Styela clava: one gene and its partners. The protein of the gene in region 4 binds, or shares a complex with, the protein of the main gene of each other region. Links are inferred from orthologs where the notes say so. Each region holds a gene or a part of one and is shown on either strand. Other genes may lie near its edges. The genes, in order: ubiquitin carboxyl-terminal hydrolase 39-like, thioredoxin-like protein 4A, protein AAR2 homolog and pre-mRNA-processing-splicing factor 8.

Evidence for each region.
Region 1: pre-mRNA-processing-splicing factor 8 (region 4) and ubiquitin carboxyl-terminal hydrolase 39-like share a complex: the UniProt entries of both Homo sapiens proteins name them as parts of the U4/U6-U5 tri-snRNP complex. The link is inferred for Styela clava from reciprocal best matches to the Homo sapiens genes PRPF8 and USP39.
Region 2: pre-mRNA-processing-splicing factor 8 (region 4) and thioredoxin-like protein 4A share a complex: the UniProt entries of both Homo sapiens proteins name them as parts of the U4/U6-U5 tri-snRNP complex. The link is inferred for Styela clava from reciprocal best matches to the Homo sapiens genes PRPF8 and TXNL4A.
Region 3: pre-mRNA-processing-splicing factor 8 (region 4) and protein AAR2 homolog share a complex: the UniProt entries of both Homo sapiens proteins name them as parts of the U5 snRNP complex. The link is inferred for Styela clava from reciprocal best matches to the Homo sapiens genes PRPF8 and AAR2.

Annotation. Positions count from the first base shown.
Region 1 is NC_135257.1:18,732,654-18,740,135, forward strand, and holds ubiquitin carboxyl-terminal hydrolase 39-like, read right to left. Parts: upstream 3,006-7,482; 5' UTR 2,898-3,005; coding exon 1,275-2,897; 3' UTR 157-1,274; downstream 1-156. Other genes in the region: coiled-coil domain-containing protein 12-like, read right to left, coding at 1-84; uncharacterized protein LOC120345593, read left to right, coding at 4,305-6,296.
Region 2 is NC_135251.1:10,684,774-10,692,483, forward strand, and holds thioredoxin-like protein 4A, read left to right. Parts: upstream 1-4,711; 5' UTR 4,712-4,837; coding exon 4,838-5,266; 3' UTR 5,267-7,189; downstream 7,190-7,710. UniProt on the Homo sapiens protein: Plays a role in pre-mRNA splicing as component of the U5 snRNP and U4/U6-U5 tri-snRNP complexes that are involved in spliceosome assembly, and as component of the precatalytic spliceosome (spliceosome B complex).
Region 3 is NC_135254.1:12,007,895-12,015,079, reverse strand, and holds protein AAR2 homolog, read left to right. Parts: upstream 1-5,015; 5' UTR 5,016-5,080; coding exon 5,081-6,181; 3' UTR 6,182-6,676; downstream 6,677-7,185. Other genes in the region: malonyl-CoA-acyl carrier protein transacylase, mitochondrial-like, read left to right, coding at 6,773-7,185. UniProt on the Homo sapiens protein: Component of the U5 snRNP complex that is required for spliceosome assembly and for pre-mRNA splicing.
Region 4 is NC_135250.1:4,435,947-4,443,103, reverse strand, and holds the start of pre-mRNA-processing-splicing factor 8, read right to left. Parts: upstream 3,016-7,157; 5' UTR 2,892-3,015; coding exon 2,778-2,891; intron 2,064-2,777; coding exon 1,888-2,063; intron 1,544-1,887; coding exon 1,379-1,543; intron 371-1,378; coding exon 152-370; intron 1-151. Other genes in the region: uncharacterized protein LOC144428064, read right to left, coding at 6,889-7,074. UniProt on the Homo sapiens protein: Plays a role in pre-mRNA splicing as core component of precatalytic, catalytic and postcatalytic spliceosomal complexes, both of the predominant U2-type spliceosome and the minor U12-type spliceosome.

The DNA of each region.
Region 1 (7,482 bases), on a different chromosome or scaffold from region 4:
TTTATCAGCAGCTCTTTTTCTCATTGCCATCAATTTTTCTCTCCTTTTACGAGCTTGCTCTTCTAATGAACCAACGTCAGCCATTTTGTAAGTCGTATCCTGTCACCGAAGCTGTATAGGGAAGATTTAAATAATACTTTAGTATGTAGTACTGGGTCTACAAAAAAATTCAATACAATTATTACCAAATCAAAATCTAACATCAAGTGACAGCTAGAAATTTCAAAAATAAGAGCAGTATATTGAATATCCAAAAAAGCAGATTTATGCAAATTTTTTGAAAGTTTTTAAAATGGAAAGCAAACAAATGGTAAATTTTGGATAGACAATCATGTAGCCCATTGAACAGATCGTGAGTAAACAGTACATGCCATGTATAATAAAGAGATGACTATTATATTAAACAAGATTTCTGATTCGATCAATCTATTTGCTAATCGCAATTTTGCCACGTATTCTACACACTTATATATCGAGGTTGCAAACTCTTATCATGGAGAGCGTGACTACAGGCTCAGAAAACAAAAGATAATTTATATCAACCAATTCTTGATTACTTGTGATAATTATAAAGGGTGTGGTATGAAGCAAGCCAATGAGAAAATTTGTATAAATATACATATCACTGTCACCAATACCTCAAATTGGATTTCATTACCTCATTCATTTATAAGTGTTACTTAAGTTGAGGGCGCTCCAGAATTGTGTGTACCAAATAGAGGTAACTAATTTAGTTCGCCTACTTTACATCAAGTTGTGTAAAGGGATGGAAGCCTATGGGCAGGGGGTATATTAAGCCTAACCCTAATCTGGTACACACACTACGGGAGTACCGAGTTGAGTATGCCATATGAAATTAGTGCTAAAGTAGCCATCATTAGAAAGTTGAATATTAAACAAAAGCATGAGCAAGATTGAACAGTTAGCTTCCAATAATAATATTTTACAAACAAAAAACAGGTCTGGTTTATTCCATCACCTATAAGCAACTGGTCAGTTAAAGTTCCATTCAAATGTGGGTTTAGTTTACACACTATTTTATCATAGCTTTCCAAGTTGCGGAGGGGCACACTAAGGATTAGTATTTAAATTGGCCAGTCAAAGACTGTAACACTCTTTTAAAACTAAAAATTTTTTTCATGCCAATTTTGCACATCATCAATTCCCCATATAGCAATTCGACATAGCAAAGATCTAATAATTCCGAAGACTAGTAGCCAAATTGGCTAATATGAAATGCATTTGCTAAATAATCAAGCAATAATGAATGTTATTTATATTTCCATTTTGACTCCATCCGATTTTGCTTTGGCTTGCATTTCATTAGAAAATGCATATTCTTTTCCACCTTTTCTTTGGGCCCATATTTGGATGTAAGCTTCAGAGAGAGTAATCATTTGTGGCAAAATGTCGCTCACATGAAGATCTTGCATCTCATACCATTGGTTAGATCCTTGGTGGAGAATATAAACACGATATGTGCCTTTCCCAATGTTCGGGTCGCCATCATGCACAATATTTGCAACCAGATCATAACATGTGTCTTTAATATCTGCATCAGCAGCGACAAATTCCGCGAGATCGATATTTTTGACGGGAAAATTAACAATTGTAGGATTTTTCTCTATGAAGAATAGATTTTTCGTGAATCGTTTGATGTAGAAAATTAAAAACGGAGGGAGACGTGTAAGCTCAAACTTTTTCATGGTGAAATCTCGTTTTCCTTTGTATTCTTTCTCAGTGAGGCCGTTAAATTTTGCAAGAAGGTTAAATAACGGAACTTGTGGGATAATATTTTGTTCCTGTTCGTCCTTGTAGAGAGGGGCAGCAAGTAGGTCTAATGTGAGATATAAAAACGGTGATTTTTGCATTGTTTCTTGGTATTCTGGCAGATCTAACAGTTTCACTTTTTCTTCTTCTGGTAGTTCAGGGTTAGGAACTTTTCTTGAATAAATTTTCATTTCTCCCTGGAAAGTTTCAGTGATGATGCTGGAACTCTTCTTCTTGGTTCCATTTAGGGCAACATGTAAAGAATTCAAAAACCAAGCAAGTAATTCAAGAGGATCACCTTGTACAGTGATTTGGAATCGTTTACGAGAGCAGAGCACAATGCTCTGCAGCATCTCGTGTGGTGACACATGGGCTTTGAAATTACGAGGATTCCATAATTTACGAATCAATTCTCCAAATCTTTGAGTTAAAAGAATCATGATGTCACCAGGTGGCCGTTTAATATGAGAGTAATTCTCTTCTCTCAAAAAATAATCCCTCAATGGAGGGATGTTTGACAACGCTTGTAAAACAACGTTACAATAATCATTCGCTTTGATGTTATTGAGCCCGACTATTCCTGGCAAGTACGTTGTGCTATCGTAAGCTCTACTAAGTTTGGAACTTGTGCTTAATTCAGCGATATGATTCTTTTTAAAAGTAGGGTTAAGAACATAAGTAATATCTTCAAGTGATGAATCTAAAATTTCATAGTTATCAGGGAGGCAGTAAAATTTCAGAGTCCTCAGATTCAAAAATACATGATGATTTATCTCAACACTGTGAGTGTAGGCATGAGATTTTTTGCCCCTTCCTTGAAAATATTTTCCGCAAACGAGACAAGCATAAACGTTCAAATGAGAGAGAGACACTGAGCACAATTTTTCGAAATCAAAATCTAAAACACTGCGTTTAATTGTATCTAAATACGGGCAGCTTCGACTTCTATCAATCTTTGGTTCGTCATCATACCTGTATTCTTCTTCAGACGAATATTCTTCAACCAAAGCTAATATTTTTTGTTCTGGAGCTTCTTGTTTAATTTCACTGTCTGAAATTTTTCGTTTTTTTGCGGGTTCAGAGTTCTCTTCCGAATCCACTTCGTTTTTAATACTTTTTATATCCATGATTAGACCTTCAAAATATACAGATTGTAGAAAAATACAACGCTCAGCGAATAATTTTCCCCACAAAATGCAGCATGAACGAAAATTGAACGTCGGTGTCACGTGTCAAAAAAACTACGCTTGGCTGATTCCGATAGGAAATAAGTTCAAATCTTACGAAAATGATATATTTTAAAAGAATTCAACAACACAACTTCATTATCAAATATTTATAATTCTAAACAACAAAACTTGATGCTAAAAAAACACTCAAATCTTTCGAACTTGAGCACGAAACCACATTAATATTAAAAGATGTTTTCTGGTTAACTCGGGAATTCCCCTTGTAGTAAACTTTTTAAAATGCACTCCTTATTTTCGAATATTTTTGGAAGGAAAAGATGCAAAGGCAAGGTTATTTTTCTAATATTTGTATCAAAAGATAGTAGTTCTAACTAAAATGAACATTGGAAGATTGATGTTGAAACGCAGCTACCCGCAGATAAAGTCGTTACGCAGTATTTTGATACCAGGACACGGTATTGGGATGTTGCAGTAGGATAGGATAGGATTTACATATTTATCCCGGGGGAGAGGAAAGCCGATAAGACGGCTTATCCATATGGCGAACCACGGCCTCTCGTCCGGTTACCATTCCAAGTCGGGTATGGGATTAGATTTACTGTATTGTTTGTTTTTGGAAGCATGGACTTGGTGGTGGAGGAAGCCGTAACCGACCAGCGGTTACGTGAACCACCCAACGACGGCGAGGAGTCCAGCAATCCTCTCGCACATAACCATCCCTGCATGGGATTCGAACCTGCGAACCCACGCAGAGTAGTTAGAGGTGCGGTGGCGAGCGTATTCCTAACGCTTAGCCCGTTGAGCCACACCGCCGCGCCGATTACTCAACAATAATTATCCTAGATATGTGTGAAAAATCAGCCACATAGAATTTCCGCAATTGGGTTGAATAGATATTTTCAATGAGTAATAAGAATTATATTTAAATGTAGAATGAATTAAATGCTCAGGAACATGAAATATGTCTAAATGTGATGCGAAAATTGTATTAAGAAATGCAATACCTACCTACCTTACGCAATACATATGTAATTTTATAGAACGCTTTTGATATGTCTGTATGTGTAAATAATACAAAATTGTTTTGAACTCATATCGTACTAAAGGGATATCGACTTTTTCTAATTCTGATTCCTATTTGTACTTTTACTAGGTTTAAATTGGAAATATGTGATTGGGACACCTTATTGGTTTGCTTCTCATTGGAATAATTACAGTAAATAGGAAAATCATATCCTAATCTAATCTTCAATTTATATTATTTTTATCATGTATTTTTCTAATCATCTTTTCCATGTATGTACTGGTAATCAAACCAAAAGCTGTGTGCTATGTGGTTGAGCCATGTTACAGTGTTATCATCTTCACTCTTCTAACTGTCTAAATGTAAATGAAAATCTTTTCTATCATATATGTCTTTGTTTTTTATGGCCAGTGATTCACTCTGTTATCTTGAGTACTACACTTTCAAATCCCATGATGCTGTGCATATTGCTTGTGGCGGGCCATGGTGCCAAGTTGGAAGAAGACATTAAAAATGATACAACTGGAAAATACAGCAATTTGATTGGTATTCCTAAAGCTTTGTTACCGGGAGTGGACGGGAAACTAATTATGGATTACTGGTGGAAGGTGGTCAATGTACGACAGATATTTAGTGAGGTTTATTTGGTTACAAATGCGGATAAATACAAGCATTTTGAAAGATGGGCAACAGCAAATGATTTTCCTGTTGAAAATATAGTTAATGACGGTTCTACGACACCAGATACAAAGCTCGGAGCTGTTGGTGATTTTGAATTGGTTTTGAGGAATAAAAACGTTGATGATGATGTCATGGTTGTCGCTGGCGATATGCTTTTTGAAGACCAGAATTTCGATATTTCACAAGTAGTGAGATATTTTCACTACAAAGCTGGCGACCTTGCAATTTATTATGAAATGGAACAAAATGAAGCTACAACTTCTCGTGGAATTGTTGAAGTTGATGTAACAACGAATAAAATTTTGCATTTTCATGAAAAACCAGAGCCTGGAGTCACTAATTCACGTTTGGCAAGTGTTGTCTTTTACTGTCTCAGAAAATCTACTTTGGCTACGGTTTCGTCATACCTGCAAGAATACCCAGGGAATGGCACTCGTACATTTGGCAAGTATATGTCATGGCTTATCAATGATAAAAAATACGATGTTTATGGCATGAAATTACCGACTCGTTTTCAACTGATTGGACAAGTGTCACTCACTGATTATCAAGCAAGACTCGATTATTTTAGCGACTTAAAACGACAGCATGCTCGTAAGAGACTTATTACAAGTCGTGCTTATGCTAGGATCGGTTTGATGGGAAATCCGAGCGACGGTTTTTATGGGAAAACAATTTCACTTTCGATATCAAACTTTTGGGCTGATGTTACTATTATGGAGAGTGAAAAACTAGTTTTGACCCCCCACCCTTTAAATGACCCTACGACCTTTGGAAGTTTGCAGGATTTACATGGAATCAGCAGAAAAGAGGGATATCTTGGAGGTTTGAGGCTTCTACAGGCGACATGCAAAAAATTTTACGAGTACTGCAATGACAAAGGGATTGCGTTGTATAAAAAGAATTTCACTTTGAGTTATGACACGAACATTCCCAGACAAGTTGGGCTGGCAGGAAGTAGTGCAATTGTCACAGCAACGTTGAAATGTTTAATGCAATTCTATAACCTCAGTGAAACAGACCTGCCTAAACCGGTTCGGGCCAGTTTTATCCTGAATGTGGAAACTGATGAATTGTTCATCAATGCTGGATTACAAGATCGTGTTGTACAAGTCTACGAAGGTTTGATGTACATGGATTTCAGCAAAGATCTTTTAGAAGGTCGTGGATATGGTAATTACGAGCGTTTACCAGCTAACGACCTTCCTCACATATGGGTTGCGTATTTATCTGATCCAAGTGATTCTGGAAAGATTCATAGCAATGTACGACAACGTTATGATGCCGGTGATACAGAAGTTTGTGAAGCGATGCAGAAATTTGCGGAATACACAGAGAAAGCAAAATCTGCAATTTTAGAATCAGATTGGAGGAAAGTAGCTGAACTAATGAACGCAAATTTCGATTTACGACAACAAATCTACACAGAGAGTTGCCTCGGTGAAGCAAATTTGAAGATGATACAACTCGGACGAGAGTACGGCTCTTCCACTAAGTTTCCAGGAAGCGGGGGTGCAGTGATAGGAATGTGTTTTGATTTAAACAAGTTATCGGACGTCAAACAAGCAATGCAGTCACAAGGTTTTGTTGTCTGTGAAGTTGTTCCCAATCTCGGCAATCAAGCGGAATGAATGGCAGCCCAATATCCCCTTCTATGGAGGAGGCTTTGAAATGGCAGTTTGAACCAAATATAACAATCTCTAGGCTACACTCAACTATATCGATAATCAAGTCTCTCTGTGTGTAGTCTCTGTAATCAAGTGGTGTTATCAATTCAAAATCTGTGAGCTTTTTTTTTTATTAGATGTATACTCTAAATAAAACACCACCCAAGCATATGCTTTTTTGTACAAACCTATCTTTTAATTAATTTATAATAATCCGGTTTTGACAGTGGTCATGAGTTGACCTAGTTTTATCATCAAGTGTTCTTTTTTCTATATATCTTATGGAAGTATTGATTCGAAAAACTTAAAATTGAATCATCTGTCAATATTTTTGATTGTGAATATTTTTCATTAAGTAATTGCGTTTTCAAAATAGTTTTAATTGTTGTTACTAATGTTGCAGAAGAGTTTTTCACAATATCACACACTTACATGTAATATCCCTGTGATTTAGATATTATAATATTAATATGCGGTGGCCTAGTGGTTAAAGCGACATAACTGTCTTTGCATTGCAGGTTATACATCTTCGGTTCAAATCCCATGTCTTCCCAAGATGTAATAAATTGGATAGACAATGCTGAATCAGAAATATTTTGGTCTTTCCGAAAATATTTGCTCCATACTTTAGATATCAGTGGAAGCTTTGTGCATTGCCTTGTTCAGAGCAAAATGCATGGATAAGTATCATAAATGATTGTAGCCATTTTTTTTAAAGATGAAAGTTAATAAGTGCCATCTGTAATCAGCATAATTTTTTAATTCATACCCAATTGTAGCATACGGTATTTCTGTAATTGTATTTCAATACCCACATACAAGTGTCTCTTTGTATATTATATTTGACTTTTATAATTTGGTAATCAACATTTAAGCTGTTGCTTACATGAAAGGATATAAGCCATGAACCTGCAATCTTTGTGTTAATATAAATGTATATTCAACAAATGCCAATAACTAAAGTATACAATTAGTCCCATAACACACCAACAAAATTAACTTTATTAATAATTATAATTCCACTCAAGTTTCTTACCATCTCTGTGATGATAGCATAGTTTATTACTATAAATGTATATTCAACAAAATAATTACAATAACTAAACTATATAGTTAGTCTTATACCATATCAATAGAATTAACTTTTATA
Region 2 (7,710 bases), on a different chromosome or scaffold from region 4:
ATTCAATTTTATTCCGAGTATGTTTCTAATTTAATTGAGACCTCTAGATTCTAGAAGTATGTGCACCAAGATGGCGCACAACCTGAACGTTTTATGTGTACCAGGTTAAGGTTCAGGTTGTGCGCCATCTTGGTGCACATACTTCTAGAGATCTCAATTAAATTCAAAGAAACATACTCGGGATTAAATTAAACCAAGCACAAATAAATTACACTAGCGCCTTTAATTGAATACTTTCATATCTGCAACAATAAACCCCTAACCAATGTAGTTCAAATATACTGACCATAGGGCGTTTACCCCAGCTGAGAACCCGAGTATAATACACGATAGCAAATTTATATCCCCAAACGTAATATCCATTTTCTATCAACGAATATTTGACAGGCAGTCTATAGTACCTGCTGTGCCTCTAGCAAATCCTTTTCAGCTGGTCTCATCACTTTATGCCTCATATTTACACAAATATCAAATACTTGTCATCGGGCGTGGAATTGTTCGCGCCAAACAACGCTACTGCTGTCATCTACGTTTACACCATTCTTTTGTCATAGACATTTTATTGAATAGCGTTATGACCTAAACAATTGAGTTAATCAGTCTTTTGTTCAAGAACGTGTTTCATTTCATATTCGATAATTAAATATTGAGGTGGGCGTCCGCGTTATAATTTAGTCCAGCCTCGATTAATTAGATTGGGAAATGCACAAAAAGAAACGCTCCAGAAGCGTGTGTACCAATATGAAGATAATTAATTTTGTTCGCCTATTTTACATCAAGTTGTGTGAAGGGGCTGAAACCCATGGGTGGAGGTATATTCACTTTGCTAACACAGACAGTCCCCGAACTCGTAATAGAACTAAAGTAAGGAAAATCGGAATAAAAGTATGATCTAACCCTAACCTGGTACACACACTACGGGAGTACCTCCAAAAGAAACGCTATAAACCCCACCACACTTTATACACTAGTTAAATATTTCACTTTTGAAAAAGCCGAGTAGAATGATTATGTTGCATGGTTTCAATGAGGCTATGTTTCGCAAGTCTCATATAAACAGACAGTCAGCAGTAACGACTTGTTGCTTTGTGTTATTGGACATGAAGTGGATCTATGGATTGTTTTGTCGTTGTTACTATTCTTTTCCTTGTTATTGTGACAATTTCGATTTTCTCTTCAACTACTGGACCGATTGCTTTGAAATTTTCAGTGGTCAAAGATTGTTGTTGTCACTAAAACTCTATTACTTTTATTATTTAAAAAATGTCTGTGGGCTTTATGAATTTTTGTGTGATAACGCCATCAAAATTAAAACATTTTGTGGCGGTTCCGCTTTCGCGATCTGGTCATCACTGATCAGTCGAAGATGGAAAGCCTCTGTCCGGAACTGTGGAAGATTTGATTTTGGCCTCACTCTCTTGTTCTCTTTTAACGCCCATGGTCGCTCGAAAGTTCCCATTCTACGGTTCGAAAATTCCCCTACAACGGTTTTTAAAATAATTGCCAGGAATTCACCAGTAACTGAAAGATCTGTATTTTTCAGCAGCTGTTGATTTTTCTGTTGCGCAAATTATAAAACTTTTAGAAGTCGTAATAATTGCATTCAAAGTCAACGCGCGACTAGATTAATTTACAAAAGCTTCTCGACTACAATCCCGAAAAATACAATTTATTTGAGTAGAATGAAAATTTGATTGAACATACATCGGGTTTTTTAATCATGATCGTGAATAAATTTATTGCGCAAATTTTAATACGGTTCGTCTGAAATAGACAATCTATAAATGAGCACATTGCGCGCGCAATTAACTGTTTTTCATCTTTACGTGATATGTCGTTTCCGGTGGTAAACTGCGCATAATGCGTATCGTGAGCACGCGAAATTTTTGCATTGTCTAAAATAGCGTATAGGTATAAAAATTATTTTTAAATGTCGCGGGTAGCACAAAACAAAAGTTATGATCATTTTTCTCTTTTTGTTTTTAGTGTGCAAGATATCGTTTCTGTTGTTAAATGAGCATAACCCACAACGCCGCGCAAATTGAATTTTATTGGGGTCAAGTTTGTTTGTCTTTGACAGTCTTTATAGCAGAGCCCACTACCGAACTTCCACTATAAATCCACGAAAAATTAAAATGTTATTTTTTTCCAATCGCGTTGAAAGTCCAATGAAGCAGATGGTTAAGTACAGTTCCATCATCTTGTTAAGATCCGGATACATTTCAGTCAAGACTCACGGAACAGTCATAACCCTTTTAATTTAGTTGCTGTTAGCTGAAACGCGTAGGATAAGCGTACTATTGTTTATCCATTGTCTATCTTTTATTTCTGGTCAATATGTGAGATGTTGAGTAATTAGTTATACGACAATTCTTTTGCATTCTTTGTTTCGATTTTTTTTTTAAATATTTATCACGGTGGAGATGAAAACCGATGGAACGACTTGATCGTGTGACGAGTCAGGATACGAATCTAGGCCCGGTTTTTAAACCATTTTTCCGTATTTATGGTGCCTACGTGAACTTTTTTGCTTCTTTCGAGGAATTCTTCGATCGTCGAGTATTACAAGGCAAAACATTTGCATTACCAGACATTAGTGCTTTCTGTGGTTTCCCAATGTCTAATAATTTATTTTTACATAGTGTACAAAACTGCAAAACGTTTCATTTAAAAATTCAAATAAATATCATCATATTAACGGACTGTAATGTTATGAAGCGTTTGGTAATATTAAAATAACCATCGAACTAATCTTGAATCATTTTTACAAAGCCCCGGCCACTAATGCAAAAATGTGAGATTTGAGTAAATCCCCCGCAACGTGTGAATAATATGATATGGAGGTTGGGGTCAGAATTGATTCGAATATCTAAATTTCCTGGGTAATTTGCATTCCTAACCCAAACCCCCAGCGGATAATTACTAATTTCCTTATTTTAATCGTTGGTGGGGGTGATTTTTGTTGGGGTCTTTGTACAAAAGAAACCCAATTTTAACTTCTTTTGCCATAAAGATTGCGGTATCATTGGTATTTCGTCCATTAAATATTCAAAGAAACGGGCGACCAGGAGCTTTGGAGGTATGGTGGTCAGTGAATGCGCGCTGGCGCGGGACGCAGTTCAAGTCAACACGGTCAAGAAAATAGATAGGCGGTGTCGATTACTTTGTGGACTTCATTTAGGACGATCTTAACAATTACGATACAACGCTTCATTTTGTCTGGTAATTTGTCTAAAGTTGATGCTGACTGCTTGTTGAATAACTGAATCCGATAGTTAGAACAGCCTGAGATAAAACGGTAGGCAAAAACTCGGCTTCGAAAGTTCGATTTGTGTTGTTTTAATTCATGCCACGAGGATGAAATAAAATGATTGATCGTAAACTAGTGGTTAGTGCCCATGATTTTGTCGCAAAAGACATTAACTGCGCCTACACTACGGCTATTTCCAAAGAACTGGAAAGAACGAGAAAACCAAGATAGGCCCGGTCGAAAAGCGGCAGCTGGCGATCAAATTGAAATGCGACTAGATTACTTATGGTTAATGGAAATTCCTTCATAGTGAAAGCGGATTTTTTTTATAATCTCAGTCATGGTATACACGTACGAAGAATATTTCATTGAGAAGGCAACATATAAAAGATATGACGAAAAATATACCTAAAAATTATGACAACTTCCATGGCGAAGCAGGCAATTGCCAAACTTGACGAGTCACAATAGTGTTCGTTTTTTAATATAAGTTGTGGATTCAATTATACCAAATTTGTATAATCTCATTATTAAACATTGTGAAATAGTTTTTTTTATGATGTGTCTTAAATTTCACGAGTGGCTGATTCTGTACTCAGCATTGCCATATTCTAGCAATATTTTAATTACTGAAAAAACGGGTGAATGATTAACCATAAATTGTGTAATAGTATTTCCCTTTGTTTTATGGAAACCAAGATATCGGCTTGAACTAACATATTTCATTCTGAAAGCAACGCATAAAAAGTTATGTCGAAAATTAATCATGGAATAATATGGCAATAGTCGGAGCGAAAAATCAGTTATTGGCCGAATTTTACATGTCCCTATATGTGAACATTTATTCGAATACAAATAAAACTCAAACTTTGGTAGAAAAATACGTTAAAAAACGATGTGCCTAGAAGAATACTTGATTTCACAAGTTCTGGTTTTAGGATGACACCACAGAGAATAATGACACCAAAGAGAAAATACTGCGCTCGCCCGTATGAAACAAATGGCGACCCCGAGTGACGATATTGGATGGACTAAAAAATTCAGAACGTTTTAGATACGTCGTAACTTCTGCCTGTTATCTTTTGTGTACCGGTAAGGAAACTAATACTGGTGAACTGGTATGACTGTATGATAATTGATGAAATGTCTGCCTACTCTGCAATTTGTAATTTTAATCATTTTTTAGCTAGACAAGATTCTTGGTGCGATATTCTCTCTCATTTTGATAGGGTGTGGTTTGTATTTGGTTACCGGTAGTGCAAACTGCAGTACCGGTACGGTACTGTCATTGTTAAAAATTTTGATAAATTAAATTGGCATTATTCAATAGGCAGATATATCATGTTTTGCAGAACACAGATTCTATAATACAGGAGTAGGTACCGGTATCAGATTTGAAGCTTGAGACATTCTATGCGTTTCCGTTATTCCTTTTTTTAGGCAATGCATATTTTTGTTTCTTCCTAGGTTTTTCTAGTTTAATATCAATAAAAAGCAGAGCAAATATAAAGAAATTCATCATTTTTGTGTCTCTGAACTGCATAGTTAAATTTTCTGGACCTCCAAGCGTAAAAAACTTCGAGCAATATGTCTTATATGCTTCCTCATTTAACAAATGGTTGGCAAGTAGACCAGGCAATCTTGAGTGAACAAGAGAGAGTTGTTGTCATTAGATTCGGGCATGATTGGGATCCAGCCTGCATGAAGATGGATGAAACGTTATACAGCATCGCTGACAAAGTCAAAAACTTCGCCGTTTGTTATTTAGTGGATATCACAAAAGTACCGGACTTCAACAAAATGTATGAATTGTACGACCCTTGTACGACTATGTTTTTCTATAGAAATAAACACATTATGATTGATTTGGGAACCGGTAATAATAATAAAATTAATTGGCCTATGGAAGATAAACGAGAAATGATCGACATTTTGGAAACTGTTTACAGAGGAGCAAGGAAAGGCAGAGGTCTTGTCGTTTCTCCTAAAGATTATTCAACAAAATACAGATATTAATTTCTTTTAAATTGTTTCAAAGCGAGCTCAAGAATACTTATATGTGAACGGAATATATTAAAAAATAGCTTTGTTTTAATATGTGTGAGGGACTACACCAAAATCTATTTCTACATATTTCACAAAAGTATGGTTTTCTACCAGTGTCTCTTAGAGTAGGCTGCCACAAATTGCCTAATTTTGACAAATTATTTTCACATGGGACAGGAGTATTGTGTTTTGCCAAAGCATTCATGTTTTTTTAAGGCACTTTATTAAGGTACATGTTCTATTATTTTTTTTAATTTTTTTCCGCGCAAGTATTGTTTATTCCCAATAGCAAAGGGCGTAAAATCAGTCAAACTTACAGTAATCTGCGACGATAAGTTTGGCCTTTTGCCAGGTATTGAAAATGTCAAGAGTTGTCAAGACAAACTGTCAATATTATATCTGTTGTTCAAACATTATGTTTGTGTTCACCCCAGAAAAGGGTTCCAAATTTCGTTTTCAAATTTATTTAATTGATGTCTCTGGTATCTCTAAGATTCTACAAAAATAAACTGTGGCAAAATGTCTCAATAATATGTATATGAAATGTATGTTCAAAAAACTTAATTTTAAGAATGCAAATGAAGTAAAATCACATACCAGGTGAATGAATGAATATTTCTGCAAAGATATGTTTGGCATTTTGTGATTATTCTCATATTTCGGATTGTCGAAGTTGTCAGTATTAAAAAATCTGTCATCATGAATGTTCATATTTGAATTACTTGTAACTAAGTGATCGTCTATTCTGACAGATTTCAATATAATATTTATGATATTAAGGTAAATTCATCCATATTCAGAAACGTGGGCAGTGGGATAAACTATAAAAATGTTTATTAGTTTCAATTCTTTATTAGCAATTTGAATTGATTATGAAATAGCCATTCAGAATTTAAATTGGAGAATATTTTTAAGATAACTACTACCTACTCTGAACATATAAATTCTGAATTCATCGAATATTCACTTTTACTTAGTATAATTTAAAATGTGGCATCATCCTTGTTTCATCAGAAAGGTTTTGGGCGGTATATTTGATTACTGACTAGTTTATTTTCTGTTTCTGCTGAATTTCTGTGCTTATGAAACCCAATTTTTTCATATGTTTATATTTTAAATTTATGTAGAAACATTAGGTAAAGGCATAGGTTTCTGACTCTGGAATGACTCCTAGGGTAACAAACCGGACAGGGTAACAAACCGGTCGAAATGCCTAATCTCGAAAAAGTTATTTATTTGCATATGCTAATTAAGAACCTCACAGTAGAATTCGACTGAGTCAATGTGTGAATTATGTATGATGCGATTAAAATTTATTTCTTGTTTTGAATATGATGTCCATGCTATTTTTTTGGTTGGATATAAAGTTTATATATTGTCTCATTCAACACTGATATTTTGTTGAACACACACAACTCACTCTTACCACCAGTGTTGGAAGAAAGTCCCAAAACTTCGAGTTGCAGGTCATGGGTCATCTGAGTCGATCACTGAGCTATGTTTCACTGATGGTTAGTTGGAAGTTTGGGACGAATCATTTATTTCGAATGACTTTAATCACTGTTCAGGTGAAAGCTGACCTCTATGACCGTATGGGCATATCACTCCCTCCTGTCCATACCAAAACAATTTTATTGCTGTTGCTATCTTATTGATGACTGTATTTTTTGGACAAAATAATATTCTCTCTCTCGCTGTTATATGGTGACTTGAAACAGAACTGTGCCAATTGGGCCTCTATTTTTCGATTGACTAAATAATAAATCTCTCGCTCTTATAGGGTGACTCGAGTCAATGAATCGAGCTACTACAATACTGCTCTTTTCTATTTATGCATCATCCACTTGCAATTTTGTAAAATAAATACCACTTTACACCAGTCTATGTACTTGACATTGATGTTTTTTGTGATTTTTGTAACAAGTGGTCATTTAGTGGTGTCTGAAAATGTGGTGTTCCATTTTGCTACACCTATCTCACTGTCATGACTTAGGGTTAAGTGAGCAAATGAAATTCTGAGTGAGAACATATGTAATACTTAGGCAAAGCGTTAGAACAGTGGTTCAGAATTTGTCACATCTCGCGCCCCACCTCAAAAAATAGCTAGCTAACAATAAGCTACAAATAACAGATAGTAAGGCGAAAGTATGTTTTATTCAAAAAATACTTGGATGGAACTTAAATAATGAAATAAATGGAAAGTTTTGAAATTTAAATATACAAAATAAGGCGGGCAAGATCAAATCTAAGTAATATTTTTATTTGGCTTCACGTCCTCTCAAAAAATTGTCTACGTCCTCCTTGTGTGGCGCGCCCCACCGTTTGAGAATCACTGAGATAGAGTGTTTATATGCAGTGATATTCATACAATTAATATTGATAATTAATACAAGTCCTTGAAGGGACATTTTTGA
Region 3 (7,185 bases), on a different chromosome or scaffold from region 4:
GATAACTAAAGTTAACGCCAGTGCTCATGCAAAAAATAACCAGAATTCAATTGAATTTGCCATCTAGGAATACGCTCGCCACCGCATCTCTGATCACCCTGGTAGTTTCACAGGTTCCAATCCCATGTAAGGATAGTTATGTGCGAGAGGATTGCAGCTCTTCTCCCACTGAGGGTGGTTCACACGACCGCTGGTCGATTACGACATCCCCCACCATCAAGTACATGTTCCTGAAAACAATTAACTGGCTAACTAATCCCGACATAGAATGGTAATCGTACGATGTTGCATCTTGCAATCCCCCCAACCCCCCCCCCCTCAGATAAATCTTATCCTAAAAACTACCGACATTGGTAGGCATATTTGCGTTTTAATTGAAAGAACTCTTTATCAATGGCCAGAATGGTGTTGTCTGATTGTTTCGTTAGTTAGCAGGTACTCTATTACTGATCTGATGTTTAATTTCTTTTCAGGATAAAAGAAAAATGACCCAATATCAGCAGCTTATAAAAGCCATCAATATTTGAATTTTCGCCATCCCCAGAGAAGAATAGTTAGAAAAAGAGGAGAAAGGCAAAAGGCAGGACCATTTCAACAAATTCTGTTAACTTGTATGCGTTGCAATATCACTTTGCAGTTGTTAGCATAAACATTTAATGTGTCTTTCGAATAGACCTACCACACTTTAAAAAAAGCCGCCTATACCCATTTTCACTAAAACCCTAACACTGTGAAATATTTGATAGAAATTACCCCCAAGGCACCATATCTTCCATTTGAAAGGGCTGTGGAGGCAGATACATTTTTTACTCTAAATTATGGAATGTTACTTCCAGGTTATCTTATCCTTGCTTATAGATATCTTGATGTTAGTGACTCCAACTAGCCCATGCATGCCACACTGAAAATTTTCTTGTGTACCGATGAAATTAAGCAGTTGAAGCCTTCAGACCTTGAAAACAGTCGAATCTGAGCACGATGGATTTATGTGAAACACGTAATATGCATTTATAAGCAAAAATATCCCATCCTGAGCAGCACTGATCCACAACCTCCTGCCTATGGAATCAAAACATTAGACAAATTGGTGTACTGTGCGCATTCACAAATCTTTGCAAATCAAGTGTGCCTTTTGACTAAGAAAAATTTAGCATTGAAATGGTCAATCTCAATATAAACCTGGTATCTGCAGATAAAACCAATTGTTTTTTAAAAATACATTTTTGATCCTAAGTGATTCAAGAGTCTTGCTGCACACTAACACAAATATATTTCTGTAACGTTTCGTCTGACCAAGGTCAGACTTCTTCAGACATACATAATTCAGTTGAATTATGTATGTCTGAAGAAGTCTGACCTTGGTCAGACGAAACGTTACAGAAATATATTTGTGTTAGTGTGCAGCAAGACTCTTGAATCACTTAGGATTGTTATCTCTACTCTTGCTACAGCATCCTTGCAATATATGCATACGGATCCACCGGCACAAAAGCATAGAAGAAGGATAAGTAGTTAGTCTCGCAGAAACCAAATAATAAGTACATTTTTGATGTGCTTTATTTTTCAAATATAATTTATAATTACTGTAAAGTGTTTGATACATTTGGTACCATGAATACCATTTGCAAATTAGCTTGGGTTACACCCCTCTCATATAAAAGTTTACACTCTAAGTCAAATCTCATAATATTCTTTAACATCAGAATTTTCTTTCAGATCACAAAGTCGCAATATTACGCCTCGCTAAGTTTCATTGGCAACTGTATTTGGTTGTAGTATCGGTGTCCAATTAGACTGAAACCTTCACTACCAGACCCACCGAAACAAAAAAAAATTCCTTGATAGGGTCGTATTGAAGTTGCTTTCGTTCAAGCACAATGGACACTTTATCTCCACCAATCCACAGTAACCACAAGTTACTTTGTCATTACAATAAGCATCAATAAAGGAATACTGAGGATGTATTATCAAGTCACGCAAGCTGAGGTCTTGTGCCACTGTGGTCTTGTTGCAACTTATACTTTGCCATCCATCTATTCCACGGTCGCACCCATATCTGTAAGAAAATGGATACAGATTCATTCGATATTATGATCCTGCACTAGCTTTGTAATAATTGTAGAGTTTTCATAAAATCTAACGATCAAGTGGTGTGAAATTTATGTCCATATCCCACCACAAACACTAGTCGTAAATGAACTTGATTAGCATATCCGGGTAGCATATCTTTTTTACCAATGACAATAAAAAGACATTTTGGGTCAGTTGTACAAGCACCTTTAAGATAGGATTTATCTGGGAGGGGAGGATTGCAGGTGCAACAACTAAATCATATAGCGAACCACAGTCTCTCGTACGATTACCATTCTATGTTGGGATTAGTTAGCCAGTTATTTGTTTTCAGAAGCATGGACTTAGATGGTCGTAACCGATCAGCGGTCGTGTGTGGTGGTAGAGCTGCAATCCTCTCGCACATAATTATCCCCGCATGGGATTGGAACCTGTGAAACTACCAGGGTGATCAGGGATGCGGTGGCGAGCGTACCTTATTCCTAGATGGCGAATTCAATTGAATTCTGGTTATTTTTTACATGACCACTGGTGTTAAACTTTAGTTATCTATTCAACCTTCACACTTAGCAATAGATTACTTGCTAACTATAACTAGGGAAACAATACCTTATGGCAATTGATGATTGATTTCTTACACAAGTCAAGTCAGCAAGTACGGTACCGGTACCGGTAGCCTAGGCCTACGCCTACCAATAACAGTAGTTTGTCATCTGCTTTCCATTGAAATGAGGGAACTTTTTAGGGAGGGAGGGAGAATATTAGAGGAAATTGATAACGGCACATTATCACTCACCATCAATGAAGTGCTGTCCGCAAACATTGAAACACAAGCGAGATGACTTCTGGACTTGACACCAAGCAGTACTGCTGCCGGTAATAGATGATATCCACATTGCGCGACGTTTCGGATCTTTTGAAACAGTGGAATATAACTGAAGATCTATTTCGTTGTCTAATTATACTATACGTACAGCCAACAGAACAATACGGTGGTCACGTGACTTTGTTTACTGGACGGCAAAAAAACAAAAACGTCCATTTGGCTCCTGTCAGTTGCAAGTCGGATTATACCGGTACCGGTACGTTTCCGTTTTGTTTGGCTGTCGAAATGGCATAGACCAGGGCTACTCAACTGGCGGACCGCGGTCCGAATCCGGACCTTTCGGGTATTCGATTCGGACCGCGACTAATTCTTTATTTTGGATCATTAGCCCCACTTCTGAAGTTTCCTTTTATAAAATCACTTTTATAGGTTTAAATATATACTGGTAATTCACATAAACTGCTGAAACAGAGACTGCCTGAAAATTTGACTGTTTTAAAAAGCGTGTCTTTGTTTTCTGTCAGCAACATACGACATACATACTGTGAGCAGGGTTGCCAGACCCCAGCGATCAAAAAAAGCCAAATCAAAATTTGAAAAAGCCAACATATCTACTAAGTACAAAAGCCCCATGATTTGTCAGATTTTAAGCCCTTGACAACATACTGATGGAGTGATGGTGATGTAGAGCTATCAGTTCATTCAGTGAGGCAAATAAATAGAAAGTAAAGTTCCTATAGAACTGTAGAAAGTAAAATAAATATCAAGCGGACAGCATCATTTTACCATTCAATATATACAATACAGGGTGCTGCTTCAGTCTGTCAGTATGTAATATACCTACATGTTTCTACTTAAACTTGTGATATACCGGTACCTTAAAAAATTCTCCCTATATCGTACTTTACTATTGAAAATTTGTTCACTTTTAAAATTTATAAACCATCAATTTTATTAAAAAATGCCGCTCACGAGTGAACCCATGATATCTAATTCAGTAATTTTAGCAAAGTTAATCACATCGTTACTGCAATTGCAGAAATAAACTAAAGCTTACATAAACCATATCAGGCATAATAAAATTAAGTTATACAACTATTTTTTGGAAACGGAACGTAAAACTGACAAATAACACGCAAAACTATAATAACAAGGCAATGTTTACAACCCTGCTTTAACATATGTCTGAGCAGCTGCAGAAACTGCAATTATTTCTCATTGGGTATGGTTAAGAGTTAATGCATTAATAATGTAACAAACAAGGAAATCGATGCTCCAGGAAATCCTAATGTTAAGTAGCTAAGTACGTGTAATACAGTAATAGGCTATTGTATACTGAAATATTGTAGGCTACTTCATATGATTTTAATAATAGAAACTAGAATGACTTGAAAAACGCCGAAAAACCAAACGGAAATTCTGACGCCAAACGCGTTTGAAAAATGGCAAATTTGGCGTTAAAAAAGCCAATATGGCAACCCTGACTGTGAGCTGTCAGAAAAATAGCTATCTCAAAAAACATTATTGGCAGGGCAAAAAGTAAGCTACAAAACTTCAATCTAGTAGAATCAGAAAGTGGAACAATATCACGGCAACAGCAATGTACGCCAGCAATGTTACTACGTCATTTAAATGCTGGTGTTAAAAAATATTAAGTGCAATAAACTGGAAAAAACAAACTACTGAACTAAGAAACAGCAGGAAGACAGATTCACTGAATGCAATACAAGTCATCATTAAATTCAACCTACCATAATTCCGAATAAACAATGTTGCATGTCACATAGGGAACCTGTTCCGGTTTAAAAAAACATGTACAACAGCAGTAACATATAAAAACCCTCTAAAGCAACTGTAGCAGCAACACCAACTTTAAATGATCTTCTACTATGATGTAATATAGTGAACTATTTGTACTCTCTTCTTATGTTTATTTTTAATTTCTGGATGTTTTGTTTTCCCATCTAGATATTTTTTATACTGGTATACAGACTGAACTACGCTTCATAGCCGAGGAGTCCAGCAATCCTCTCACATATAGCCTTATCACACAACTGCATAATGCGCCTTACCGCCGATGCAAATATATTATCGTTATTGTTCATATATATTTGCCTGAAGGTAACCAAAAATACAATTTTTTTTTCAGACTTAATAGTATTATCATAGTGCTACCTCCTGATCATGGACCAAGGTTTGGCCAAAAAACTGTTTGAAGAAGGTGCATTTTTAATTCTTGTTGATATGCCGAAAGGTACAGAATTTGGAATGGATTGGAATTCTTGGATTACCGGACCCAAATTCAAAGGTGTTAAAATGATTCCCCCTGGCCTCCACTTTATTTTTTATAGTTCAAATGGAAAACATGGTGGCCATTCATCTCCAAGGTCTGGATTCTTCCATTTTTTCAAACAGAGGGAAATTTTTATTAGCCATTGGGATGTTAATAATGAGGAAATCCAATTCTCTCACAAGTCTGTTGATGAGATGAATTCACTCAGAGAAAATCTGAAAAACTTGGATAAAAATTTGGCGCCTTATCCATATGACACCTTAGAAAAATGGGTGTCTCTGACAGACTGGATTAATAATGATGTTATGGTTAAACTTCAACCCGAAAACGGAAAAATTCAGTCTGTTCCCGAGTTAATTTCAGAAAGCAATGTTTCACCAAGTGGGAGAGAGATGTCGGAAGAGAGTGTCAAAGTGCCAAGATCAAGTGCAGTTGACGAGGATGGACTGCCTATACTAAAACCTAAACCTGGGACTGAGATAAAATTTTCAATGATACCTAAACAATGGTATCCCCCAAACGCAACTCCACATGAAATTTCAAAGCATAGTGTGGATTCATCATACATTTTAGGACAAATAATAAAAAACTCTTCCCAACCTGAAGACTTGCTTGGTGAACTGCAGTTTGCATTTGTATGTTTTGTTTTAGGGCAGGTGCTTGATGCTTTTGAACAATGGAAATCCCTTGTAAATGTCCTATGTTCTTGTGATGACTTGCTGAAAGAACATCAAAAATTGTACGAGAGTTTACTTACAGTATTTTATCATCAACTCAATGAAATACCAAAGGATTTTTTTGTTGATGTTGTTAGCTCTAATAACTTTTTAGTTTCAACTTTAACTATACTTTTTAGTAATCTGCAAACTGAGGGAATTGATGCAAGTCTACAAAAACGTGGCAAACAGTTTCAAAAATATTTGACTAAAAAATTTAAGTGGAATTTTAAAAGTGAGCCAGATGATTGGGCGCCTGTGGTTGTAGAAATATAAGAATATAATTATGTTGATGGATTTCAACTGAAATTACACTTTTTTCATATAAATGGGTCATAAAATTTTGTTTAAATTTAAGATTTTAAAGTAGCTCAATCGGGATCAAAAATTACATAGTGAGTCAGGTCGATTCAAAACAAACCTATTTCATAAAATAAAATACTATTGTTAAACAAAATATTTGCTACAATTTGTAAATATGTTTATACTGAATGATTCCACATCGTAAGGAAAGCTAGGAATGGAGGAGCAAACTGGCTACAAAATTGTAATGCCCCCATCTCTTCCTGCCCTCGTTGACATTGCGGCAATTAAAAATTGAAACTCAGTGATGCATCTGTTGTATCACACTTACAAATTAAAATAGTCTGTGATGTTTCATGTCATTTTTCTTATATCATGCTTAATTCTCCATTCAAAATAATTGGATATTTCACCTACAAACAGCTTCCAAGCAAAAACATTATTTTTCTTCAATTTTTGCCATCTAGATATACTAATTGATATAGACTACTACACTAATTGTGGAGAAAATAAAATGTTTTATTGAATTCAAAATGTAAGTAAAGGAACATTTTTAGAGTAACTATGAGTCTTGCTCTGAGACCAAGATTGTGGACCAGGCGTTTTTTTTTCTGCCATCGCAACTACAATGTGGCTGTAGAAGGAGAATTAAACAACGATAAGTTGATGGAAGAACAGCTTGTAAATGATTTATTTGGAGGTACAGGAGGTTCAAAGAAAATTCCTGATAAACTCGAGAACACTTCGACACTTTTGTTTCCTGGGCAAGGAAGTCAGTATGTTGGAATGGTGAAAAATCTTTTGAAATATCCAAATGTCAAAGATATGTTTGATGTTGCTTCGGAAATTTTGGGATTCAAATTATTAGACCTGTGCATCCATGGTCCTAAAAATCAGTTGGATAAAACCATCTACTGCCAACCTGCTGTTGTTGTTACCTCACTTGCGGGTGTTGAAAAGCTTCAAGCTGAAACACC
Region 4 (7,157 bases):
CATTGTCGATTTAATTATCATGATTTCCCTCATAAAATTTGATTGTAAGACTGAATTTCAGAGTATCAAGATATTCGTATACAGACATCCCTAAAATGGAAAAAATACTTCAGTTTTAGGTAAAGAAATTCTACTATATAAATATCCTTACTTGGGTTCATCCTGCAATGGTTTATTATCATAAAACCACTCAGAAACAGAGGAATCTTCTTCCGGATCCAGTTCAAGCTGGATAGCTTCAAGAGGATCAACATCCAGCACGTTATCTGCGTAATCAAGAGGAGGTTCCTCATCATCAAAAGGAGGAAATCTCATCCTCTTGAAATGACGACGATCACGTTTTTCGCGACGCATCATAATCCACATTGAACTAGAAGATACAGAAAAATAGTTAGACGGTATAATACACTGATTATGTGTTACCACAGTGGTTCCCAATAGGTGCACAAGTTGCCTAGTGCACTGCAAAAATTAAAAGAATTATATCAAACATAACTAAAATATGATTGAATATTGACGATCACAAAATTGAGTTTTATTTTAAAGCACTTTCTTTTTTCACATGTGAGTGCGCCGTGAGTTTTTTCCCTGATAAGTTGCCGCCACACGAACAAAAAGTTTGGGAACCGCAGTGTAACCCGACAATATTTTTTATTACTATGACCAGTCTAAATGCAAAATTTATATGAAGCTTGAAAAATGTTTATATTCGAGCAAAGCACCACTTATTTTGCTTGCTTGATAAGCTTACTTCATTCAAACTGTCTAAAGTCTAAAATACATTTAACATTGAGGCAATCCAAATGTTTCAATCCATAAAGTTATTGAAACCGATAACTACACAGCTGATCACACTTATTATTACTGGTAAAAAGAATTGGTTTCAATGAAAAAAATAATAATCAAGTAATTATTTAGGCATCACGCATCAGTAATTTTCACACACATATAGATTGGCCCAAAAAATAGAACTCATAATTTTTTTTAACAAATCCTACGAGAATGAAGAATATTTATTCAGCACCTAAGTTCGGAGTATGATTGTACCCAAAAGTTTTAGTAATCTGGAAAGCTTTTCAAAAAAGTTACGGCCTCTCGAGAATATGTTCCCTATCAGCTGGGTTCCGTTTTTTTTTCTTTTGGAGGGAGGCACAGTACAACGCTAATATTGACAACAATTACTAATTTAATAACTCCTGCATAAAGTATACTGGTAATAACAAAATATCTATTGCTTATTTTAAAATAAACTAATATTTCAGATACCTAATGCATTTTCCTCATTATACATATTTATAAATAAGTTTTTTTTCTGTATTAATATAACAATTTCCACTAAACAAACTTGTTTTATTTAATTTTCATATCACAATCTTACCCCCATTGAGCGATATAAGCTGGCTCAATGACCCATGGAATCTCATTGACAAAAGTAATAGCTCCAGTGATGTGATAAATGACGGAAACATCCCGAATCTGTTCCCAAGGCATTGGCATGTTCTCAAGTAGTTTTAGAACAGCATGAGGCATGTACTTCAGAGCCCTGGATTGATAAGAAAAAAATTATCAGAAAATGTATAAGTTATTTAATAAGAAACTGAATTCTTCAGACTATGAGAATATAATACGCTGGAACCATCAAAAAGTTATATTCTGAATCAGAGATGGCAAAAATTAAAGAATGCAGTATTTTAAATACCGTAATTTTCAAAACAAAGTATTTTTACATATCAGGTATCGAGTACATTCCAGTGCAACAAACATAAATTGAATTTTATAATTACAAGACGAAAAATTGAAAAATAAAGAAAGAAACATTCACTTTCAATTAACACTGACTGGCAACTTATATATTAAAACCATCAGTATAAAAACAAATATTTTTACCCCAAATAAACTCTTTTATCATGGCGAAATTTCCTGTTTGTCATATCTCCATGATCCTTCACAATTTTCCTGACATGTTCTGGTGGCATGTCTTCCTTTTGTGGGTCGACAAATCCAAACTTTCTTTTCTCTGCGTAACGTTTTGATTGCAATTGTTGCCATTTTCTAGCTTTTTCCTAGAACCAATAAACAGACATTATTTTTTATATGATATATTATTGTTTATGCTACAAACAAGGCTTTGCACAGGCAGATAACCGGGTAAGAAACTATTATAAATTGGAATCTACTTTGTTTGGGGTTGCACTGTTCATTACACTCTCATCAATAATTTTTTTACAGATTTTTCAATTCCAAATTTTGTTCCAACAAAATACTTATAACAACCTGGATATAAGGGATGGGCATTTTGAATTGAATATTCGAGTCTAAACGAATATTAATTTATTCGAATCGGTTCAGACGAAAATTTCGAAACTCCGTCATCTTGTTATTTTAGTGAATTGCTCAATTTTTTTATTGAAGCCATGTTTTCGAAATGTAATTCTGACATATGACTTTATTCTTCCTATTGAGTTATTGATGAAACATGTTCCCTATTGTATGTGACTGCAGGACTGACCGAGTGTTGGGTTCTATATCTTCCATTACAATAAAAATATAACATGCAATTAAGTCGTTGTATTATACCTCAGTCGTTGTATTAAGTAGGTATCCAAAATTCACCTCCAAAAAAAAAAATTGAATCGATTTTGAAATCATCAAATACGCTAAAATGCTCAGTCATAGTGGTCATGTTACAATATATTGATCATGAAACTTCATCTTGCATAACTGAAGTATTCCCTTCAGTAAAAATCATAAAAAATTCAAGTAAAAACACAACCAACCTGTAATCGTTCCTCACTGAGTCCACCAGCAGGAGGGGGAGGTTGTGATATTCCAGGTGGCATACCAGGTGGTGGCATACCTGGTGGAGGTTGCATTCCATATTGAAACGCCATGCTGGTTCAAGTTGTGAGCAACGCTCTACAAACTTGTGACAGCCCGAGTGAAACTAGCTACCTACGAGCAAGTTTCCATAAACTTTTATACTTACAGCTTTCTAATACAAAAATTGTAGAAGTTATTAGAAGTACTGGGAAGCAAGGGCCATAAGGGTCTGGTATAGTTTAGTACCACATGCACTTCTAGTTGACCTGAATCGACAATTTTTGCATATGTCAATCCTCAATCCCATTTTACAGATGATCAGACACACCTCCTTTGGGAGACGTCTGGACATTGTTGTACCTCAATATCGATAATAAAACAGTATAATGAATTTGCGCAAAATACTACAAAAAAGCACAATCTAGTAACGTCATCATTGTTATCCTTGGGAAAAAATAATCCGATTTACCGAAGGAAAAAAATTTTATTCGAACGTTTTTAGCAAAAAACGGCAATTTTGGTCATGTGACGGCTGCGATTAATTATTATTGAGATAAGCATGGCGCGATATGAAGCATCCGACGTGGTCCCAGATGCCCCTCATTTGTGAGACACATAGAGTGTTTGTTTCATTGAGCCAAATGGAGGGTAATTCTTGGAATTTGGATTGTGTGCTGTACTGCCTGACTACGTCACCAAAAGTTACGTCACTACGACGCCACAGTGGCGTAATAAAGACCTCCAGCAATCCCGATATGCGAGAGAACACGGGTGTTAGTGAGTTCGTTATCGTCGATGCAGATGCCCTTTCGAGTGATCGTACAGTCGTAGCTATACTTTGGCAAGATCTATGACTGTATGATGTGATTGTGACGTCGTTGGGAATAAAGTTTTAGAAGACATAGTCAGGTAGGGGTTAGGAAGAACATATGCAAAATTCGTTATGCTACGTCAACCAGAAGTACTTGTGGTACTAAACTATATTAGACCCGTAATTTTTGGATGACGCGGTCAGGTGGGGGTTAGAAATGGCATATGCAATAATTGTGGAGCCAGGCCAACTAGAAGTCAGACATGTGATAGACTACCCAGTCTGGTTTTCATGGCCTTTTTGAACGAGAAATCGGGCGTGCAATCAGAAATTCCTGCGTGCAAATAAGAATCCCTGGCGTGCAATTATCAGAGCCATTATATAATGGCTCTGCAATTATAGCTCACGGCGTGCAAAACAACTGCGCCCGCGTGCAACTGACTTTGACATTAGATACCTCTCGATACATCACCGTCCGGTATCGGATAAAAAATACGTTGAATCAGAGCAAAAATGGACGTTTGACCTTTAACCCCAAACATTTTTTCTACAGTTTGTCGCTAATTTTGAGAGTGTTTGTGCGATATTGGATACCGGTAGTGTTCAGTACATCCGCGTAAAATTATTGAATAAAAAATACGTTGAACCAGAGAAAAATGGACATACTTTGTCATTAATTTTGGGAGTGTTTTTACGTAGAATTAATAAAAATACATCAAATTAGAGCAAAATTGGACGTTTGACCATTGACCCCAAACAGTATTTTTATACTCCGTCACTAATTTTGAGAGTGTTTGTTCGACTTTAAATACCGGTACTGTTCAGTACATTCGTGTAAAATTATTGTATGAAAAATACGCTAAATCAGAGCCGTACCTGGCCAGCGTTGGTGCGGAGGCGATCTTTTCGTCCATAACTATTCTCACGGGATTCCTATCATTCAACACGATATGGTCTTTTTTGCTTCGCATTTTTCGATCAGACCAAATTTTGCAAGCTAGTATTAGTCGACAATTGTGGAGTTATACTATTTTGGCATCTTTATATTACTGGATTATTGATTTTAAAACAATTTAAACCGATTTACATTGGTGAGCAATTGCAAATTTTCGGCGTGCAAAATTGAATTCGCTCGCGTGCATTTTCGCGGAGCGCTAGCGCCCTCGGGCGTGCACCTGCCATGGATTCCAGTCTGGTCAACCAGAAGTACTTGTGGTACTAAACTATATTAGACCCGTAATTTTTGGATGACGCAGTCAGGTGGGGGTTAGAAATGGCATATGCAATAATTGTGGAGCCAGGCCAACTAGAAGTCAGACATGTGATAGACTACTAAACTATACCAGACCCGAATTTTGTTTTGTAGTTTAGGTACGGGTACCGTAGTCCTGTAGCTGTGTAGGCTAGTTTGAATTTCAAAATACAATATTCTGATATTGCTGTTTTTAATGTGATTTAAGATTATGATGAGATACTTTGTTAAATTCATAAGATACCGTATAATTATGGCCTATGTCTGTATGTAGTCTACAGTGGATAGGTGAATGTTCACGTTTTCTTGTTTTTCCCAAAATAAAATCGGAAAATTTAACATCCTATTGTCCTACATTCTGACATTGCACACGGTTGAATATAGCCTACTTATAACTTCTGGTACCCGTACATTTAAACCCACGACAATTGCACCTGCATACTATTGCATCAGGGATTTTTTTTTGCGGATATTCTGGATATTTGAACCCATACTAACCATCCCAATGGGTTTTACAGTTTTAGCAGACGCATATAGATTGAACCCGCGGATATTCTTATGGGTTCAAATGTACGGTCACCATAACTTCTACCGCAAAGGATAAAAATACAATTAGTCTAGCCTGTCTCCCATCGAAATAATACTGTTCTATTCTCAGATTCTGGGGAAGTAAAACATGAAAACGCGTAAAAACTGAATCAATCAACACGCCGACGCTGAAACGCAAGACGTACGTTTTATAAAATGTGCAAATGCACTCGCGCGTGTCAAAGTTAGGTCACGTGGTATATTTTCATTCACTTTTGGACACGTAGTGGACATAACGATCGTTTCAAAATTTTGTTGTTATTGTTATTATTTGTCTCAAGCAACACGTTTTGAATAAATCGCTTTTCTCTTCGTATACTGGACCAATTGCTTTGAAATTTTCAGTGGTTAAAGTTAAAAAAAATTTTCGCTATGACGTCATCAAAATTTTATGTCCATATATTTGAGCATAGCTCTCTTGTTCATCGTGTAGTGTACTGAATGTCGGAAGAAAGATAAATATAAAATTTTTCCGGAGAATATAATAGCCAATGAGGCATCAAATAAAAATAAACTAATGTACAGATTGTTGATCTTTGCAAACTAACTAAAATTACTTTTTATGTACATTTAGTTTAGGGGGTATGATTTGGTTTCTGCGAAACTAACTACTTATCCCTCTTCTATGCTTTTGTGTCGGTGGATCCGTATGCATATAATGCAAGAATGCTGTAGCAAGCGTGATAATAACTAACTTATCTGATTCAAAACTCTTAAATTACGGGGTAAGTTGTATATTTTTATTGTTGCAGTGATTGTTTTTCTGTTTTCTGGCTAAACACCTCATTTTCCCTCTCTCTTAGAGAATACAAAAAAATCGGTTACCTTAACCACCCTATGGCGACGAGAAATCCTTTCGCACATAATTATTCCAAGGGATTCCAACCTGCGAACCCACGCGGAGTAAATTTAAAAACTAAGCGACCTGACAGTCGCATAATCTTTTTCTGAGTTAGTATTTCCTTAATAACCAAATCAAGACATTGTCGTATTATTACTATTGTACTAGTTCATGTTTTGTTAGTAGTCATCTTCCTGTGTGAATTTTATTCACATCAAAGAATATGGTGGATGCTGACCTCCATGTATGATCGTATCGCTCCCTCCTGACCATAACAAAACAATTTTATTGCGGTTGCTATTTTATTGATGACTGTATTTTTTGGTTGACAAATTGATAAAACTCATTCTGCCACTCGAGCGGTAGCGCAAGAAATGTAGCCTACACATTTGACTTTTTAGATATGATGTTTATTGCCTTAAATTTTCAAGAAAAATATTCTAGAAAAAGCAAAAGCAAAGAAAACGGAAAAGTAGTTGGTCTTGTAGAAACCCAATCGATAGCACAAAATATTCTAGTTTTGAATATACTTTATTAATATGCACAACATCAATTTCGACAGAAAGTTCATACAATTCATGGGCGGGATTTAGGGATTTTATCCCCTAACAGATTGGCCAAAAATTGGCCATCTCTTTTAACTTGAATCCAAACTGAATAGTCCTGGTTTTTCTGCAAGTTGTTTATGGTAGCTGACATGGTAGATCCAGCTTCAGCACAGCCTAGAATTGGTCCATCATAAGCTTTCTTATCCGCCATCATCTAGAAACATAAAATAGAGTGGTGTCAAATATATGAACAATAAAAATTACCCAAACAACAACAGCAAGACTATAGCAAATTGA